Arabidopsis thaliana: one gene and its partners. The protein of the gene in region 3 interacts with the protein of the main gene of each other region in a pairwise test. Each region holds a gene or a part of one and is shown on either strand. Other genes may lie near its edges.

Evidence for each region.
Region 1: the proteins of AT3G61790 (region 3) and AT1G27210 interact in a two-hybrid assay, tested with the Arabidopsis thaliana proteins (one large-scale study listed by BioGRID).
Region 2: the proteins of AT3G61790 (region 3) and TTL interact in a two-hybrid assay, tested with the Arabidopsis thaliana proteins (one large-scale study listed by BioGRID).
Region 4: the proteins of AT3G61790 (region 3) and AT2G27580 interact in a two-hybrid assay, tested with the Arabidopsis thaliana proteins (one large-scale study listed by BioGRID).

What each region holds. Positions count from the first base shown.
Region 1 is NC_003070.9:9,454,746-9,459,946, forward strand, and holds AT1G27210 (ARM repeat superfamily protein), read right to left. Parts: upstream 3,432-5,201; 5' UTR 3,173-3,431; coding exon 2,312-3,172; intron 2,230-2,311; coding exon 2,130-2,229; intron 2,044-2,129; coding exon 1,517-2,043; intron 1,403-1,516; coding exon 1,026-1,402; intron 937-1,025; coding exon 924-936; 3' UTR 532-923; downstream 1-531.
Region 2 is NC_003075.7:12,813,062-12,818,131, reverse strand, and holds TTL (coiled coil protein), read right to left. Parts: upstream 3,327-5,070; 5' UTR 3,266-3,326; coding exon 3,003-3,265; intron 2,769-3,002; coding exon 2,642-2,768; intron 2,512-2,641; coding exon 2,220-2,511; intron 2,122-2,219; coding exon 2,045-2,121; intron 1,629-2,044; coding exon 1,574-1,628; intron 1,436-1,573; coding exon 1,005-1,435; intron 765-1,004; coding exon 744-764; 3' UTR 510-743; downstream 1-509. Other genes in the region: AT4G24910 (glucuronoxylan 4-O-methyltransferase-like protein (DUF579)), read left to right, coding at 1-178; PAP24 (purple acid phosphatase 24), read left to right, coding at 3,692-3,871, 4,077-4,168, 4,253-4,322, 4,409-4,528, 4,610-4,702, 4,800-4,929, 5,041-5,070. UniProt on the Arabidopsis thaliana protein: Key regulator for endosperm and embryo nuclear divisions.
Region 3 is NC_003074.8:22,871,165-22,875,754, forward strand, and holds AT3G61790 (Protein with RING/U-box and TRAF-like domain), read right to left. Parts: upstream 2,670-4,590; 5' UTR 2,380-2,669; coding exon 2,152-2,379; intron 1,869-2,151; coding exon 1,482-1,868; intron 1,176-1,481; coding exon 810-1,175; 3' UTR 533-809; downstream 1-532. Other genes in the region: emb1703 (embryo defective 1703), read right to left, coding at 1-298; AT3G61800 (ENTH/VHS protein), read right to left, coding at 3,559-4,590. UniProt on the Arabidopsis thaliana protein: E3 ubiquitin-protein ligase that mediates ubiquitination and subsequent proteasomal degradation of target proteins.
Region 4 is NC_003071.7:11,775,903-11,779,374, reverse strand, and holds AT2G27580 (A20/AN1-like zinc finger family protein), read left to right. Parts: upstream 1-1,821; 5' UTR 1,822-2,089; intron 2,090-2,206; 5' UTR 2,207-2,243; coding exon 2,244-2,735; 3' UTR 2,736-2,965; downstream 2,966-3,472. Other genes in the region: AT2G27590 (S-adenosyl-L-methionine-dependent methyltransferases superfamily protein), read left to right, coding at 48-154, 243-723, 832-950, 1,406-1,607; AT2G27570 (P-loop containing nucleoside triphosphate hydrolases superfamily protein), read right to left, coding at 3,070-3,235, 3,280-3,472. UniProt on the Arabidopsis thaliana protein: May be involved in environmental stress response.

The DNA of each region.
Region 1 (5,201 bases), on a different chromosome or scaffold from region 3:
GTGTAAAAGAAAAAGAGTTGAACCAAGTATTTTATTCAACAACTAAAGAACCTATGTCGTTAGAAAAAAACCCACAACACTTACAGTCTGATATGGTCTACTTCACGAGCACTAGATGTAAAACAGAATTTTTGTGTGAATAAATTTTACATTCGTTCAAAGTCCACAATCTCTTGATACTCCAAAAAGAAAAGAAAAATGGGATGAATATTCTCTTGTACATAATAATAATTCAAAATTTGCGGCCACCGGATTTGCCAAGTGATTAAATGATCCCTTGAATGTTCTCTTGTATTTTGGTCTCTATTTTTTTGAAATTAGGTTCGTCCATTGAAATGCGGGCCCTAAAACCTGAAACCAATGCAGGACTTTTGTGGTAGTCATGTTATTTACCTACCTTATCTTATCACTATTTATTACTACGAAAATCGTTTTTTTTTTTTGTAACAGACCGTCATAGGAATAGAACTATAGGAGTGGTAGCCAATAATTTCTGAGTTTCTGACACAGACATATGGAGTCTAATGTAGTCGTATCTGTATTGTCATCATTCTTCTTATATATCAGCAACCAATAATTCCTTTCTTCCCAAACGATTTTACAATACAGATCAGAGTAACACAAAACAGTATATACAAATCTTTGCATCATGGGTTTGTCATAACTCTAATGCTCACATTACCATAAATAATCAGATCTATTCACATGCATTTTACTCTTCTGAAACTCTATTATTTCACTCGCTGATTAAATTACTAATACATGTGTGAGAGATTTGAAAATTCAAACAAGCGGTTTGAAGCAAAGCATCAAATCTGAGGGATTTTTTGGCTTTTCATTTTCAGCTTCTTGTGTTAGTGTCTGGTCAGCTTCAATTATCACATCACTTTCTTCTCAAAAAGTGCACTCTTTTCACTTTTGCTTCAAGTAGATAATCTGAAAACACAAAGCAAACTTTTAGAACCATGTTTTTATAAGCTAAAGGAAACAGAGATTTTTTTTCTTTACTAAAAAGATGGTTTTACCTGGTGGTTGGTTTCTGTAGTGTTGTATGCATACAGTCTTGGAACTGGTCTCTTCGTGATCTCTTTTGAAAAACTGAACCTCCTCTTTGACCGTTGTTCGTATCTGTTGATTCTCGCATCCCCTGGTCGTACGCAGCCATTTCATTAGCTGTGTTTCTGTTCCGTGGTCTCTCCTCGGTTTTTCTCCAGAACTTGGGACTTAAGAACTCTGTACCAGGTAGTTTGGAACAACTGTCTCCTGCGCAGCCACTACTATTCCTAGGAACTCTCCCGTTTGAAACCGCCAGATCGCACGATATTTCATCCAACGCCATCTCTAGACCGCTTACACGAGACTCCAGAGACTGAATTCCACTCTGTGAGGTTCCCATGAATTTCTACATCCAAAATGAAAAAAAAAATCAGTGAGGATTGAGCTATCTACAACATTCATAACCAAACAATTTATCTACATAAAGGGACACTATGCTTATTAAAGACCAAGTGTATACCTGTAGTAAGTCTAAGAGACTAGACTGTTGGTTCTCAATCAGAGCAAGCTGTTCCCGTATCAAAGACAGTTCCTCACTATCTTTCTTGCTCTCTTCAACATCATCTTTACAATTCTTTACAGAATCACCATCGTCACTACAAGGTGCAACCCTTGAGCCAGACCTCAAACCACCAAAGCTCGATACTTTACTATCTTCCCTGCTTTTCTCAGAGATAGTATGTTTGATTATATCTGGTCCCCCTGAGTTAGCCTTCTCTTCTGTTTCTTCCGAAGATTTCTTTACCGGTGTAAAATGTGGTCCCTTGTTATCCACACTAGAGGCTTCTTCTACTAACATGGTCATATTCCCTTGATTTCTTTTTGGAAGATTTTCTTTTTGTCTAGTTGCTGCATATGATCTATTCACAGGCAAAGATGGGGACCTCTTCATTATAGGCGTTACTTTCTTTGGCCTAGCGGATTTTAAACCAACGTCAATGGTGGAACTTCTCGTGACAGAGGAAAAGCATCCAATGTTACCATCATCTGAGAAATCAAATTGAAGCAAGTCCCTAGTTTAATTTGCATTCTCACTGTATTGAGACAACTAAGTAATGACTACTAGTACATACCTGTTGAAGATCTTGATGGAGATAAAGAAGCTTCATCATCAGTTGAAACTTCCTTCCACAGATTCAATGCTCTATTCATAGTTTCTCTAACACTTTTCACCTACATTGTGAATCCACTAAGTCTCAAAATCTGATTTAAGATTGAACACAAAAACAAAACTTTAAGTCTCTATTTTTTTTACCTTATCAAATCTTCTACTCTCAAGAGCCGTCGTGCAAGTCTTCTTATACTGCGACGCCAAATCTTCCGCCGTCGCAACTTTACCCAACGCCTCAGCCGCAGACTTCCTCGCCGCCCAATCCTCACTGCTCAAAAACTCAATCAAAACCGGAACTAACCAATCCAAAACCGGTTTAGTTCCCGCACCACCGGCGGTAATTATACTCCCGACGGCACTCAACAACGCAGCTTTAGCCTTAAAACCATCACTCTTAAGCAATTTCCCAATCTTAGGCAACGATTTTCTCAATTGCTCCGATTCCGGATCCGTCGCCGCATCAACAGACGCCGCTAAACACAACGCCGCTCCGATCTGCAGATTCGAATCACCTTCCTGAATCAAAGTCTCAATCAACGGCTTCGCGACGGAAGCAAAAGGCTGCCTCGTAACATGAGCCGACATATCAGCCGTCGCGACGGCGCAAGCAGAGCGAACGGAGGAATCCGGATCTCGGAGACGGCGAATAACAGTTGAAACCATCTTAGCAAGGTGAGGTGTTAGAGAATCTCCGTGGTAACGAGAAAGAACCGATAAAAGAGCAACGCACTGTTTCCTCACCGGAGATTTAACGGAAGAGTCAGTGTTGTGGATACAGTTAAGAAACGGAGAGAAGGAATCGTGAGTAAGGTTTCTAGCGATTGAGTCAAGCTCAGCGGAAGCGAGAGCTAAAGTGTCACGATCAGCGAGCTTGTTGAGACAAGCGATGACTCGTTGCTTTAGATCAGGTGGTGTTGACGGTGACTGTGAAGACGGAGATGTGGAAGAAGACGACGGAGATAATGAAATCGGTGGACTCGCCGGAAATCGTCCGTGAACCGACATTTTTTTTTCCGATTTGAGTTTTTTTTTGTTGGTAGTGAGAAAACGTGTTCACATTAAATGTGTGGAAACTGCTTTGAATATGGCGGCAGAGAGATTTCTCCGATTATGCGTAGAGACGGTTTGGGCTATTTGGGTTTTTAAATGCTTACAAAGAAGAGGGACTTTGTGTAAATAAATTAAATAATGTTACTATTTTCATAATCTTGCTTTTGTTAATGTCTTTTAGATATTGCAATAAATAAATACACTACTTGACGAAATAAAAAATGTAATGTTCTAACATTATAGTAATATATGTGAAAAATACTTTGATGATTGTTCGTTAGTGTCTACTTTGGGAAAAAATTAAAGGGAAAATAATGTTGAAAGTATTCATATTTTTGGTCTTAAAGAGAACATTATTGCAATATTTTCTTCAACAATAAAAGTAGATAAACTCTAACTAGTTTGTTCAAATATTCTCTTTCATTTATTTACTCTATTTCTTTTACAATCGAAATAATTCGAAATCTGTATATTTCATTTAATTTACTTTTTTTTGCAGATTTTATTTAAGTTGCTGAATTAAATGTGTGTTTTTTACTACATTTTTTGCGTTCATTATTCGTCCCATTGGAAATTTAATTTGGTTAGATGAAAGTTATTTTTTAATAACCCAAATATTTTTAGCTATTTCGATAATGATAGCAAAAATCTAAATTGGATTTGAAGAAATAGTCATAGTCATTGGTGAGTTTTCTTAGTGTAGGTCAGAAAGATTCGGTCCTTTTTTTTGGATGTCGTGTTAAATCTCACAGAAGAAAGTTATAATATATGATTTTGAAAGTTCAAATAAAATGTTGTATCATCATCACCATTACCAAATGATACGACAAAAAAAGGAAATTGAAACAAAATAAAAAAACTGACAGGCAATGGAATATATCCCAACTGGCGAACCTTAGAACAGTTCCAAATTTACAGTTATATATATTAATAAAGTGATTAAGACAAAAGAAATGAAATAATATGTTGTGTTTTTGGTAATGATGCTGTTTTAATAATCTCTTTGACATTTGACTTGTTCAGAGTATCAATGATGCTAATCAGATTTAATCTTGAATATATTAGTTTCTGGGGCCAAAATGATTTGACTTAAGTTTACATGATGTAAGAAATGACAACCACCATATTTAATTTCGTATTAATTAAACAGTGGATGGAGATAGTACATTTGTTAATTGATGAATATATGATCCGATTACGTGATTATATGATTTTTGTATAATCAAGTTTTAGAGAAAGAAAAAAACCATGGTAAATAAAGAGTGGCACAGAAGTAAATATGAAGAGAAAGAGGTAGAGAGAGACATTAAGGGAAATAATGTGAAAGCACGTGAAGAGGAAATGGAGAGAGCAGGCAAATTGGGCAGACGAGCACGTGACTTGATTAATTCCTCTCCCCCTGCTAAAAATTTAATTCGTATCTTTTTTTTTACCTCTACATGCATTTGACATTCGAAAAAAGCTTCATGTTTTATATAAGAACTTTTTTTTTACTAATTTTGTAATTCGTAATGAAGAAAATAAATATAAAAAGTATTGCAATAATGTGTTGTTTGGTGTATGAGTTGTAGAGGACATAAAACAACAAACAATTCTCCTACAAACATTGATCCTGTTTCATTGACTAATTATTTGGTAATATATGTTACATATTTGCATACTTAAATCAAAAATATCTTTTGAACAGGATCAATTTTGTTGAAGCCTTTTTATAGGAACAAGAAAAAAAAAATCATTTGTTGATAATCCAAAACTAACATGCATGAGGCGAATATTATGCAACAAGCAAATGATATTTCGAACGTAAATAGCTTAAAGCATTAACAAGGTATGGTTACTTATGCTCTACGTTTATATGAATCTCATCCCATGTACCGTCTGTTGTTCCAAACGAATAGTGATTCAATCTGCAACAAATAAATGAAGAGAAAAACAAACTGAAAATATTAGCCCTAGCTAATTTGGATACATCCTTTTATCTCTA
Region 2 (5,070 bases), on a different chromosome or scaffold from region 3:
CTCAACAACAGATGTTTTCGTGCATGATGTGCACAGGACAGCTGAAAAGTGGCTCTCCTGGGAGTTCTTGTGCCAGGAGAATCTGGTTTCAGCTAAAGGAACCTTCTGGAAGTTTAGGATCAAGCGTCAATCAAATGCATCCAGGTTTTGCTCACCAGAAACAGTCATCATCAGATAATAGCTAAATTTTGTACATTTAATCAAGAGCAACAATGTTACTCCCTTAGTTCTACACACTACTGTGTCTTAATCTCATACCACCGTAGGGAAATATTCGAATTAAAGTAATTTAGTGTACAAATGTCATTCTAAATATGTGTATCCAACTAGAAAATAGATACAGTTTGTTGAGATGGCCACAATCTATGAACCACACAACAAAGTTATTTCACTTTATCTCCCCCAGAAAAAGAAACATCAGATGAAAAGATTTAGATCTTTCTTAAGATGAAGAACCCAAAGGAAGATCAGATAGTGGAGAAAGGCCTTCTCCATGCTATATTTTATTACTGCATAAGCTACGTAAAACTTTAACCCTTTAAAATCTCTCGTACCAAAAACAAAATTTTATCCATTTTTTACACTACTTGAAAGGAGTCCCAGGATCACATACTTCTAAATTCTATCATAGCTCAACATGAAAACAAGATACATTGGAGTAGGATCTCCAGGAAACGAGGATTATAAAATTCCTACATGAGATAATCCTTACTAGTTGCCATTTTGGATGTCAGCCACCGCCATTACTCACCACTCTCTCTTCGCTGCAATCACAATTAATGTATATACATAAGACCACTGAAAAGTATTTCTCGAACTAAATTTAAAACAGTAGCAACAAAGCAATATGTATCCTTTTATGTTGAGTATAAAAGGAAACCACATGATATGTCGCTAAAAGGAATATCAATCCAAACAAATACGTTTGAGAAGTAGAAAAAATATCAAATGACATGAGACCAGTAGTCATTTATAATTCAACATGAGCAAAGGTAAAAACTTACCGCCCGTTTGCTAATGTACGGTTGTATTTTGACTGGTTCTGATTCTGTAGAGATGCTTTCAGTTTTCACTAACTTCCGTTTTTCCTTCTCAAATTCTTTCCTGGATTCTTTTCTAGTGCCTGATTGCCAAACCCGACCAAAGTTGGGAAGCCAGTCTGGATCAATGTTACTCTTCGTTACATGTCCACTCTTCTCCATTTCTATCTCTATCTTTCTCCTTTCAGCCCATGCAGCGCCAACCCTATTAGGATTCAGCTTACGATTCTTTCCAGGTACCTTTGCCTGAAAGCGGGCCACATCTGATTGGTTTAGTTGAACACTAGAAAAATCCCCATCATTTGCATCAAGCCAAGGTGGAGGAGCTCCAGAGTGAACGTTCCCGCCAGCATCAGTGGAATGTGAGGACGAAATGCTAGTCATTCCCACCACACCTGAAAAAAATAAAACCCATGCCATTAAAAGTAGTGCATATAAGATTGGCTACGTTAATGAAATTCATAGACCTAGACGATAAAGCCCTAATCATGAAATTAACACAACGCAGATCAAATTTGAAAGCAGAGGCCTACCTGGAGGATTGTAAGAGCCATCAATTTGTTTCTTATCTTGGCTCACCTGATAATTCTAGATGAAGACAATGTCAGTCACAGGCTCTTTTATAAAAGTTTGGACTTAGCCAATGAGATAGCTCTGGAGGTATGATGTAGTTGAACACATGGAAAAAGATAGCCAAACAGTGAAGGAACTTTGATGATAAAAACAACACACAAAAGTATTTCTTACCCCAAACTTTAATAAAATTCATTCTGCCTAAAAAACCTCTCATATATAGAAGAATTTTTTTGATGTGCAAATTACGCATATAACACATAAGAAATTCCTGAACCAAGGAATACTTAAGACCATAAACTTTAGAAAAACTAGCCTATAACCAAAATTCTGAGCCAAAGAATCCTCATGATGAAACTAACAGGAAGCGTCATATAGATGCACCATAACCAGATTATCAGAATATCAATGTTACTATGACTGAAACCCACCTCTTGGGTGCAATAATTACCGTTGCCCGAGTAGTCCTTGCTTCTACAAGGAATGGAATGTTCGCCAAACCCGTTCCCTAGAAAATATAATTATAGAGAGTTAGAGACTATTATACACAACTTGTAAACACTTGGAAACTGACAAATTGTGGAGGTCGGAATCAACCAAAAATACCTGATTCATCACATAGAGGGAATTGGGAATCATCCATGTTCAGATATGAACCATTATGTATAACTCCAGGAATCTCTGAAAGTGATATCTGATACTCATTCGTATTATACTGTAAAGGCATAACATCATTTGATTTATATGAATTTATATGGTGTGCAGGAACTTTTTTAATTCTATCCATAGTTTCAAACGCAAGTTTAGTGTGGATATCATTAGATGTCCCAGACAGCTGTCCACAGGACCCTTCAAAAGATGCATCTTCATTTCCAAATGACTGACATTTTTTCTCCCACTGCATCCAGCATGAATAGAATTTCATTAGAGATTTCAACGAATAACATGGCTACACTCTTAAACCGCAAAGGTTGCAATTGAGATCTGTAAAAACAGAAGAGCATAATATTCAAGTAAATAGTGCATACCTTAGCTACATCAGCTTCTGAAATTCGGAACTCGTCTATGCAATCCATTGCCGGGCCATTTTTCGACAGAAATTGCTTGATATTCTTAAGATGATCGGAACTTGCGAAGTGATTGATAGCCTTAGAACTGATACAAAGTTTCCAAACAAAGTATTATGTGCAGTCAAATAAATCAATTATCATCAGAAGACGCATCAGTTTAGATACAATCCCAGTTTTCTAGCACAGTTTCAATCAACTCTTGCGCACTCTGATTCTACATTCAAATAAAGTAACACAGCTACTAATGTTCGCACAACAATGAACCCAAATCAAACAAACAGTCACAAATCGAGAGGAAAGAGAAAACGGAATGGCATACCAGGCGAAGGAGCTACCGAGCTCAACAATGTCCTCATCGCAGAAGACACACCAAACACGGTTTTGCGACTGCTCTTGTGGCCGTAGAACGCTAGGGTTCTTCAGGAAGAATCTGACGTCAGCTATCTTCGATCTGAATCGATCGAGTAAGGAAGAGAGGGAACTTTTGTGGCGAGGGAAGTACTTGTGGCGCGAGCCTTGGTCGTGATGAAACCGGCACACCGTGCAGAACTCGATTTCGCTCTTTTTCGATGGTTTCTTCATCTTCTTCTTCTTTCTTTCCAAAGTGACCCGAATTAGTGATGCGATTACAGCGCGATTGAAACCGAAGCCACGGTTGCCAAATTTAACAATCAAGCTTTATTAATTTCCGGTTCAAAGCCGGTCCGACCCGGATCAGCCTAATGTACATAAGTCTGAATAAAACGAAAATCCGTTTTTTCCGTTATCATTATTTGTTTTTAAAACAGTATGAACTATCATTAAGAAAAAACTGTTAGAATATTAAAAAGAAACTGTTAGAATATTCCTGACTAAAGATTTGACGGTGAAAGAAAATATTTGATTTTGTTTAATTCGATAGACATGAATCAATTTTGGGATTCCTAGATATATCCTGATTATAATATATATATATATACCTTTCTGGTTTTGTTTCTCAGTCACAACAAAGGAAAAACAAAAAAAAATATGGCTAGAGTTTTAGGTGTGCTTCTGTGTTTACTCGCACTGTTCAGCTCGAGCTTATGTTTGGATCATGCCAATGGTCGTGGAGATCAAGCACTTGCTCAAATTAATGTTTACGAAACAAGTCTTGCTTTAGATAGTTCTGTCAAACTTCACGCTTCGCCTCAAGTTCTTGGTTCCCAGGTTCCAATAACAAATTCTTTCATCATATTATTGTTCTTGTCAGATTCTTGTTTGACAGATATATATTAACTCTTAAGAGATGGTTTTTTTAAATGTCAAAAAAATTGTATGATAGACTTGAATATGTTTTCTTGATTTCACGTAATTATCACAAAAACCAAACTTAAATAGATATGTTATTGATGTCATGACTTTGATCTTACAGGGTGAAGATACAGAATGGGTAAATCTTGCTATCTCCAACCCCAAGCCCACTTCAGATGATTGGATAGGAGTTTTCTCTCCAGCAAAATTCGAGTATTTTTTCTAATCTGCATCTGTGTTTGTTAACTTGTGAACGTGCCATTTGTGCATTATTAACTTGTCTTTGTTGTTTGTTAGTTCGGGTAACTGTTGGCCAACAAGTGGTGGCAAAGAGAAAACTCCTTACATATGCTCTTCTCCCATCAAGGTTTGGTTTATTACATATTTACCAGTGATTTTTTTTTTTTTTTTAAGTCCCGGTGTAACATTCCCCTTTTAATTTCTATTTGGCAGTACATGTATTGTAATTCTCATCCAGATTACATGAAGTCCGGGAATGTGACTCTCAAGTTCCAGATTATAAATCAGAGAGCTGATGTCTCCTTTGCACTGTTTTCCAATGGAGTTCAAGAGGTAGGTTATAACTATAGTTTTTCTCAGTTTAGTATTTTGTATATCAAGTGGACTTAATTATTGATCTTTTGAATATCACAGCCACACCTTCTCGGGGTTTCGAATCCTGTAGCTTTCTTCAATCCTAAAGCACCTGTCTATCCGCGTCTTGCATTAGGGAAGAATTGGGACGAAGTAAGTTTTTCCACTCAATGGCCTTGAGACTTCTGAAGCAGCTATACAATATTTGGGATCTTTAGCTAAAACTTGCTTATTTTTCTATCTTTGATAGATGACCGTGACATGGACTAGTGGGTACAACATAGATGAGGCTGTTCCTTTCATTGAATGGAGTGCAAAGGGACTTCCAGCTAGAAGATCACCAGCTGGAACATTGACCTTTAACAGAAACAGCATGTGTGGTATGTCCTGTTTCGCTGTGATCTCTGAGCCAGCAGTCCTGGAATATCTGAAACTACTCATCTGGATCATTCTAGAGATTTGATTTGTGGATGCATGCTATGTTTACACAGGTAATCCTGCTCGCGGCGTTGGTTGGCGTG
Region 3 (4,590 bases):
TACTTAAATCATCACAGTGACCAAACTTATGGCTTTCGTTTAGAGGTTTCGTACCTGGTTCAGAAGATTTCGGAGTCGAACGCCAATACTCATCACCGATGATCTTCTTCCTCAGCGAATTACGTCGCCTCGAGGTCTCTCCGAACCGAGCCGAGACTCGGAGAATTGAAACGCGATAGTAGTGGAATTTGGAGATGGGCAAGTTGAATCGACGTTGGTTAGCGAGTCTCCTGTTCGAATTGGACGAGAAAGACGAGAAATTGAAGAAACCATCATTGGAGTTTAGTAGAACCTCCATTGATGGAAACCAAAGGGATAAAGCTCACTTCCGAGTGAGAAAACCCCCAAAAGCTGGGTTTAACAGAACAATGATGAAACGTCGTCGTTTCTTAAACAAAGCTAACGCCTTTGAACAACACTACAGTTGAAAAAAGGTTCAACATTTTACATTTTCCAGATATAAAGCTCATCACTTCCAAGTTCCAAAAGCTGGGTTTAACAGAACAATGATGAAACGTCGTCGTTTCGTGGACACAACACAAGCATTACATAAATTTATGAACACTACAGTTGATAAAAGTAAAAGGTTCAACATTTTACGTTTTTCCTCCAGATATAGCAGAATTGTAATGAACTATATATTTTATAATAAAAAAACCTCCATGACATGAGAAAGACAGAGAGAGATACATAAGAACAACCCCAAGTTTATCGTCAGAGAAAACCCTAATTACAGATAACCATGGTTACAGAGACAAGGCCAAATCGGTGAGGTTTTCAAAATCAGTTTGATTTTTTTTTTTTAATTTTCAAGACAAGTTTGGGATACAAGCTCCTCCACCTTCACCACTTTGTTGTTGCTCTTTCCATATCCTTCCAGTGACTCGAAGTTTCAGCTCTTTCCTATCTCCACCTGAGAAGAAGAGAGCCATGTTTCTTTGTATAATTAGTCCATCATGACTGTCTCTAACTTTCCTGTGGCTGTCTCTTACGCTTCTTGGTGTTCCTTCCCATATCAGCTTCCGACCATAACCTCCCACTTCTAAACTGTAATTGTAGTTTCGAGCTTCTGTCTCGTCCCCCATGAAACGCAGGAACGCCATGTAGACTGGAGCCATTCCGAGCTGGAATGCCTCAAAGTGAAGACAGAAGTATTGACCGAAGCAGTGAAAGACCTGATTTTCATTTTTGAACCAGAAACAAAACCAAAACAGAGGAAACCTTGATAAGCATTAAAGTATATCAAGTCAACATGTATAGCGAGATGGAAGATTCACAATTCACAACCATAGATTAGATAAATAACTGGACCTTCTCTAGGAAAGCTAACTCGCAACAAAAGCAAAATTTGACTCAGCTGATCACATTACAGTTTATACCAGACAGATCAAATTTTATCACAAATATAATCCTATTACTTTAAACAAAGCCTCCTAACTTATCTAAGTGTATACTATGAAGCACGATTCATATGTACTTACAGTTAACATCCATGTGGCGTTTTCGACTTCACGAGGATTAGACTTGACATAACGATGGTTGAAAGTACACCCAGAATGCATATCCACCTTATGATCATCCCTCAGATGAGCAACTAAGAAAGGGATATCGCCCGTAACAGAACACTCGGATCCAGCATAAGGGCAGCTATAAGGTCTGAAGTTACATACAGTCTCATGTTTGAGCTTACTGTAATAAGGGAAGATTTCAGGACATCCAAGTGACATGTGTTTACAAGGTAGTTCAAGTGATTCGGCTACTTTTTCCAGTGCCAAACAACGGATATCACCGAGCTCTTGTCTACAAGTTGGGCAGCGGTTGTGAACCCTGGCTTTACAGGTTGAACACAACGTATGTCCATTGTGACACTGTAGGGAAATCAAATAATTGTCTATCTGTTATTCCATAATTCTCTAAAGAAACAATAAGAAGAATCTTAGAAACTATCAAAGCTATTGACAAAATTTAGTGACAATTGTTTCAATTGTAGCCATTAGTGAATGGATAAAACTAAATTTCAAGTTACAAGAGCAACACAACCACTGCTTCAACATCCATGATTCACATCATTAACTCAAAACCCTAAACAAAATCAACAAATTAAAGATCCGGGGAAACGAAATCAGAGAACAAGGGATTGAAAAGAAAGACCTGATGAATGGGAGGGTACATAGAATTGGTGCAGACAGGACATTCGAGAAGCTCATGAACACTGGTGGTGGTAGGGAGAAGCCCAGAAGCAGCAGCATTAACGTTGGTGGTGTTGTTATTAGTATGATGATGCTTGGAAACAGAAGCGTAGGAATGGCGATCTTGGTGGATCTCTTCATCATCTGTCACATCCATGGTTGATGTACAGTCCATGCTATCCAAATCCATTGAAGAAAGGTGGAGACTTTGATTGATCTTCGATCGAAACGAAAGATCAAAATCCGGAATTGAAGAAACACCACCGAAACAGGTCAACCCTCGTGAAGTGTTGTTAATTTTCAAAAACAAAAAAGATAGATGCTCTTCTTCATCAATTCTCTAGAGAGAGAGAGAGAGATAGTTGCCGTCAAATGAACCGGAAACGCTGATTTAAGATCGGACGGTCACAAAGGCGGCTGTGTTAAAGAGAGAATGTTATTTGGAAACAAATTGAATTATAAGAGATTCAGAAGAATTTACTGGATAGGGGAAAAATAATCATATTCTAATAATATACGTACAGTATATCCTCTCTCACTCAATGATTTCTTTGTTTTTAATTAAAGGGCCATGATCCAGTAGAGATGGGCCTAAATATGTACATGGTGCACATGATTGCTTCTTTTTTTTTATTCTAGATGTTTTTCTCTCTAGTGGGATTCTGTCTATCATTATTGTGTGTTCTTTTTTTACTTTTAATTCAAACAATTTCTTTTCCTTTGTACAAGAAAAATGATTTTCAACTTCTAAAATGACAGCTAAATTCAAAGATTCATGAAAAACATGCTCATCTTTCTGTTTACTTTAACAAAAACTTTAAGAGATGTATTTAGGTAAAATTAGACGGTTTAAGAATATGAAATTCATAAGAGGAATAATAAGTAATGGGATGTGGCTTGGGTTCAAAGTCACTTCAAAGACCAATGATAATGTAAATGAACATTTTACTCTTCTTCATCTCAAGCAAACTCTCACAATCTTAAAAGCAAATTATTCAATTAATAATTGCTTCTCATCAGTGATCGGTCTCATGAGTGATATCATCCTTAAACACACCACATAAAAGAAAAAGAAAAAAGCGAACAACAACGATCCATCCAGCTTCAATGATCTGTCGTTGCTTTTTAACAGAACATGTCAATTGTACTATTATCTTTCTGTTGGGTTTTGTGACTTTTGTCTGAGAAAAATATAAAGCTTCAAAGAATCTGGGACTTGACTTAAGAACTGTTTTCACAGCTACAAGAGATCACAAGCGGATCTGATTATTCATTCATCAAATATTCTTTAGCTTTTTACTCCTATTTGCATCAAACAATCAAATTTAAGGCACTACTGGATCAAAACTAGAAAGATTTTAGTTATTTGTTACCACTGGTTAGCCGATGTATCCCGGCACTTTTCATCATTGCCCTGAGCCAACTGCTGTGGATTAGTACCTTTTACTCGATTACTAAACAGTCTCTGGGATATTCTATCTTTAGCCGTTGTTTTCTTACGCCTTGTGGAAAAGGTTTGCTTCTTGTTTTTCTTTTCAGCAAAAACTCTATCAAACTCATCATCCATAGCATTCGATCTAGAAGTTGAGGCTATTGCCGCACCACGCAGAACTTCATGATTGTGTTCCTTAACCTTAACCTTAACAAGCTTTGCTCTTTTCCTCACCACTTCTTTGTCTTTCTCCCGGATATTCTTCAGAGCCTCTTTCGCTATTTGCCTAGCTAACTGATTAGGATCAGAATCTGAAGTTGTTTCATCCATAGACACATCCTGGTTGGTCCCTGAAGTTGAAGAAGTTTGGTTTTCACTCTCATCTAATGGAGATTCCTGGATTATGGTGTTTCCTTCATCATCCCGGGGTACAATGGGTCCGTGAAACGGACAGACTCTGAGATCTCTTCTCTGGCAAAGACCACCTTTCTTTAGAGAAGCACGGCATGGAGGTGTCTCTGTTCTCTCTTCTCTATACACGGTTGCCTGAAGATTCAATTCTGCTATTTTATCTGCTGGAATTATAGCATCTTGATCCACCCTGCCCCAGTGGCTCTCGATCTCTAAACCCCGGTAATTAGCTCGAACTTCCGTAGTTGATTCCCAATTAGTCAACTGTGATCCCCAATTCATCACAGGCGCTTCAGAAATTAGCTTGTCTCTAAGAGAGTTTCCACTGCTTCCAACTTTTTTAGTGTTCGACACTTTATTGGACCTAGCTTCTGATGTAGACTTCTTTGCTTCACCTGATGATGGTAAAGATGAATTCTCACTCTGCTGAGTTCTCATCACATGAGCCACGTTCTTGACTGAATCAGTTTTAACCTTGCCATCATCCTCCTCCCAGATATCTTCTTCTTCCTCGTTTGTTTCTTCATTACCGTGAATATCAGTCATTCTTGACATTGT
Region 4 (3,472 bases), on a different chromosome or scaffold from region 3:
TTAACATTTGTTGTTCTTGTCTTTTCATTGCTTTTTGTTTGTTGCAGTCACCAAAAGGAGACATAAGTTACTTGCAGAAGTTCTTTTTAATGTATGTTGGTGGAAGACAACCTTTCCATTTCCAAGAAGATTTCTGCGGCACTGCTCTTTTAAGGTTGTTGTGTGTTTCACTAAATGGTACAAAATAATGTAGCTTTTGGTTTTCTTGCTTGAATAAGTTTTTACATTGATTGTTGGAATAGTGCGGAGTGGCTGAAGACTGACACTAGACGGACTGCTATAGGGCTTGATTTTGATCTTGAGGCGTTAGAATGGTGTATGGATAACAACATTAGTAAACTTGGTTCTGACGTGTATTCAAGAATGTCGCTTTTCCATGGGAATGTTTTAACTCCTCTTGAGGCTAAGCAAGTGAAATCTAAATCCCATGAGCTGATACAAAATATCAGCTTGGATGATGGTGATGATAATGAAGATTTGGCTGATCCGAGTGTTGTCGAATCTTTAGAGAAAGATGGACCTGATTCGTTGCCAAAGAGGGATATTGTGTGTGCTTTTAATTTTAGTTGTTGTTGTCTCCACAAACGCTCGGAGTTGGTTTCTTACTTCAAGAATGCACGTGACGCTTTGTCTAAGAAAGGTGGTATCTTCGTGATGGATTTATATGGAGGTGCTTCTGCTGAGGGACAGTTGAAGCTTCAACGGAAATTCCCTAATTTCACGGTAATAGTTCATTCTTGTACTTCATTCGGTAAAAAAGGGTGTCAGAGCCATAAATATCGAACTTACTAGAGATAACCGTACTAACGATTGTCCATATTCATTTGGCAGTATACATGGGAGCAGGCTGAGTTTGATATTTTAAGCCGCAAGACAAGGATCAGTCTGCACTATCACCTTCAGAAGCAGAACAGAAAGATTCGCCATGCTTTTTCATATAGCTGGAGACTGTAAGTGTCCTGTAGTCTACTTCCACATCCATTCTTTCTTCAAAGTGGGACAGTCATTACCCACAATCTCCCACAAGCCTTAAGAAAATATTACAGTTACAAAAAAACGAAGCATATTTGGTACTTAGGGGTTTGCTTAGCATTTTAGATAACTTGATAAGTGTAGGCTTTTGGTAATTTTGGTTGGCTGGGTGAGGTAGAGATTCTGTAGTGCAGCCACTATGGATCAAAACTTACACAAACATGTGCTCGAATGTTACTGATATCTAAATTCATATGTTAGTGACTTATCCTTGTGTTGGCTGGTAAGTAGCAGTGAAATGATATTGAATGTTATATTCGGGCAAGACAATATTCCTGCTTTCCTTATTGTCTGTAGATTTATTGTACTTGCACTCTTGAATCATTAAGTTCCTGAGAAGTAACTCCTGGATCTGCTGTTCATATATGTGTAGGTGGTCATTGCCGGAGATAAAGGATTGTATGGAGGAAGCTGGGTTTAGCTCAGTCCATTTCTGGCTCAGAGAAATGCCGGACGCTTCTGAAATGCGTAGAACAGATGGGTTTGGTGCTGGACGTGATATCAAGTACGAACAAGTCAAGAGCTTTCAACAGTGTGATTCTTGGAATGCTTACATTGTTGCGGTCAGCCTCTAGTTATGCTTTCTATCTTTTGATCAAAAGACACTAGCCCTTTAACTCAGATCCTTTGTCGATTTTACATCTAGTATTTATTTCTGACACGCACTGGTTTAGTTTCATGATTTCAATATTATTTTTTTGTCGTCTCATGATTTCAATTATCAAGCACAAAATTGTTAAAATGAATAGTGTAGGTGCTTCTGGAATCTTCAACGCTAGCCCAAAAGCCAAATAACACCATTTTCCACAAATTGTCCAATTTCCATCTTACGGCCAACAAAAAAAAGAGTAAAATAACAATTTAATTTTGTATCGATTGCGTCGTCGTTAGTTTTCCCATTTCCTCATAATTCTTCATCTCTTTCCTTTCTCATCTCTCGATTCCTTTCTTTCTTTCCATATTCCATTGATTTCTCTCTTCTTATAAAAATACAGATTCTCTCTTCTTAGAACCATCACCGATTCGAACAGATCTAATAAATCGTTTTTTTCACCAGGTAATGACTTGTTGTTTTCGCCGATCCATTAGTTTTTTCTTTCTGTTCTATAGTTTTGATGAGATTTAAGCAACAGATCTATTGATTTTTGATTCCATCGATCGGTTAATTTTGTAGATTTTTTTCGCCGGAGTTTGTTTTGATCCATTCTGTTATGGCGGAAGAACACAGACTTCAAGAACCACGATTATGTGCTAACAATTGTGGCTTCTTCGGAAGCACAGCTACACAAAATCTCTGTTCCAAATGTTTTCGAGATCTTCAACATCAAGAACAAAACTCTTCCACCGCCAAACATGCTCTTACCCAATCCTTAGCCGCCGTTGGCGCTGCTGCGTCTTCCTCCGTGTCGCCACCGCCTCCGCCTCCAGCTGATTCGAAAGAAATCGTTGAAGCGAAATCAGAGAAACGAGCGGCGGCTGAACCGGAGGAGGCGGATGGTCCGCCGCAAGATCCGAAGCGGTGTTTGACTTGTCGGCGGCGCGTGGGAATCACGGGGTTTCGGTGTAGGTGTGGTTTCGTTTTCTGCGGGACGCATAGGTACGCGGAGCAACATGAATGTTCGTTTGATTTCAAGCGGATGGGGAAGGATAAGATCGCTAAAGCGAATCCGATTGTGAAAGCTGATAAGCTTGAGAAGATTTGACTTTGTTGTTTGTTGTTTGTTGTTGTTGCTTTGGTTTTGTGCGTTTGAATGAAACACACATGAAGAAGAAAGAGCAAGAAACAAACATGTCAATGTAAATTTAAGCTTTATTTGATGATTTCTTCAGTTTGGTTATTAAATTTGCTTATTATTGATTTGATTGTTCCGTTTGATGATCTTGTAGAAGGCTTAAGTCGTATTATCAATGTGTAGAATTTGGATTTGGTTGATTGGTTCGTCATTACATTAGCCATTAGCCAATATGTAGAACAGAGAAAAGCATGACAACAACATAGGGTAGTCTTATTACAATGCATTGGAGAAAAGCACAAACTCAGAATTTCAAACCAGAATTTTGAAGTTTCTCTTGGATGATCATGTCGATTTTGTTCTCCATTTCAGGAGTCAAATAGTTCTTCCAATCACCGACTTCTCCTTTACGGAAAAATGTTTTGTTATCTCTACCTTCACATAATTTTCCGGTCTTATTGATCTCCAAACTGCTTAGATTACGTAGAGAGCAAAGATCTATAATCTCATCCACCAATCCGTTCTCTTCTTCTTCCTTAGTAAAGGAGAATCTAAGAACTCAGCAAGTCTCTTGATCTGCTCATGAGGTTCTGCTTTCATCTCCTCAAACCTCATGAAAAGGACATGATTTGGATCTTCCAAGCTTCTTCTCCAGTAGCTTAAGACTTGGTCCCAAAAAGGCCCAAAAAAGTTGACTCCCTTACAAA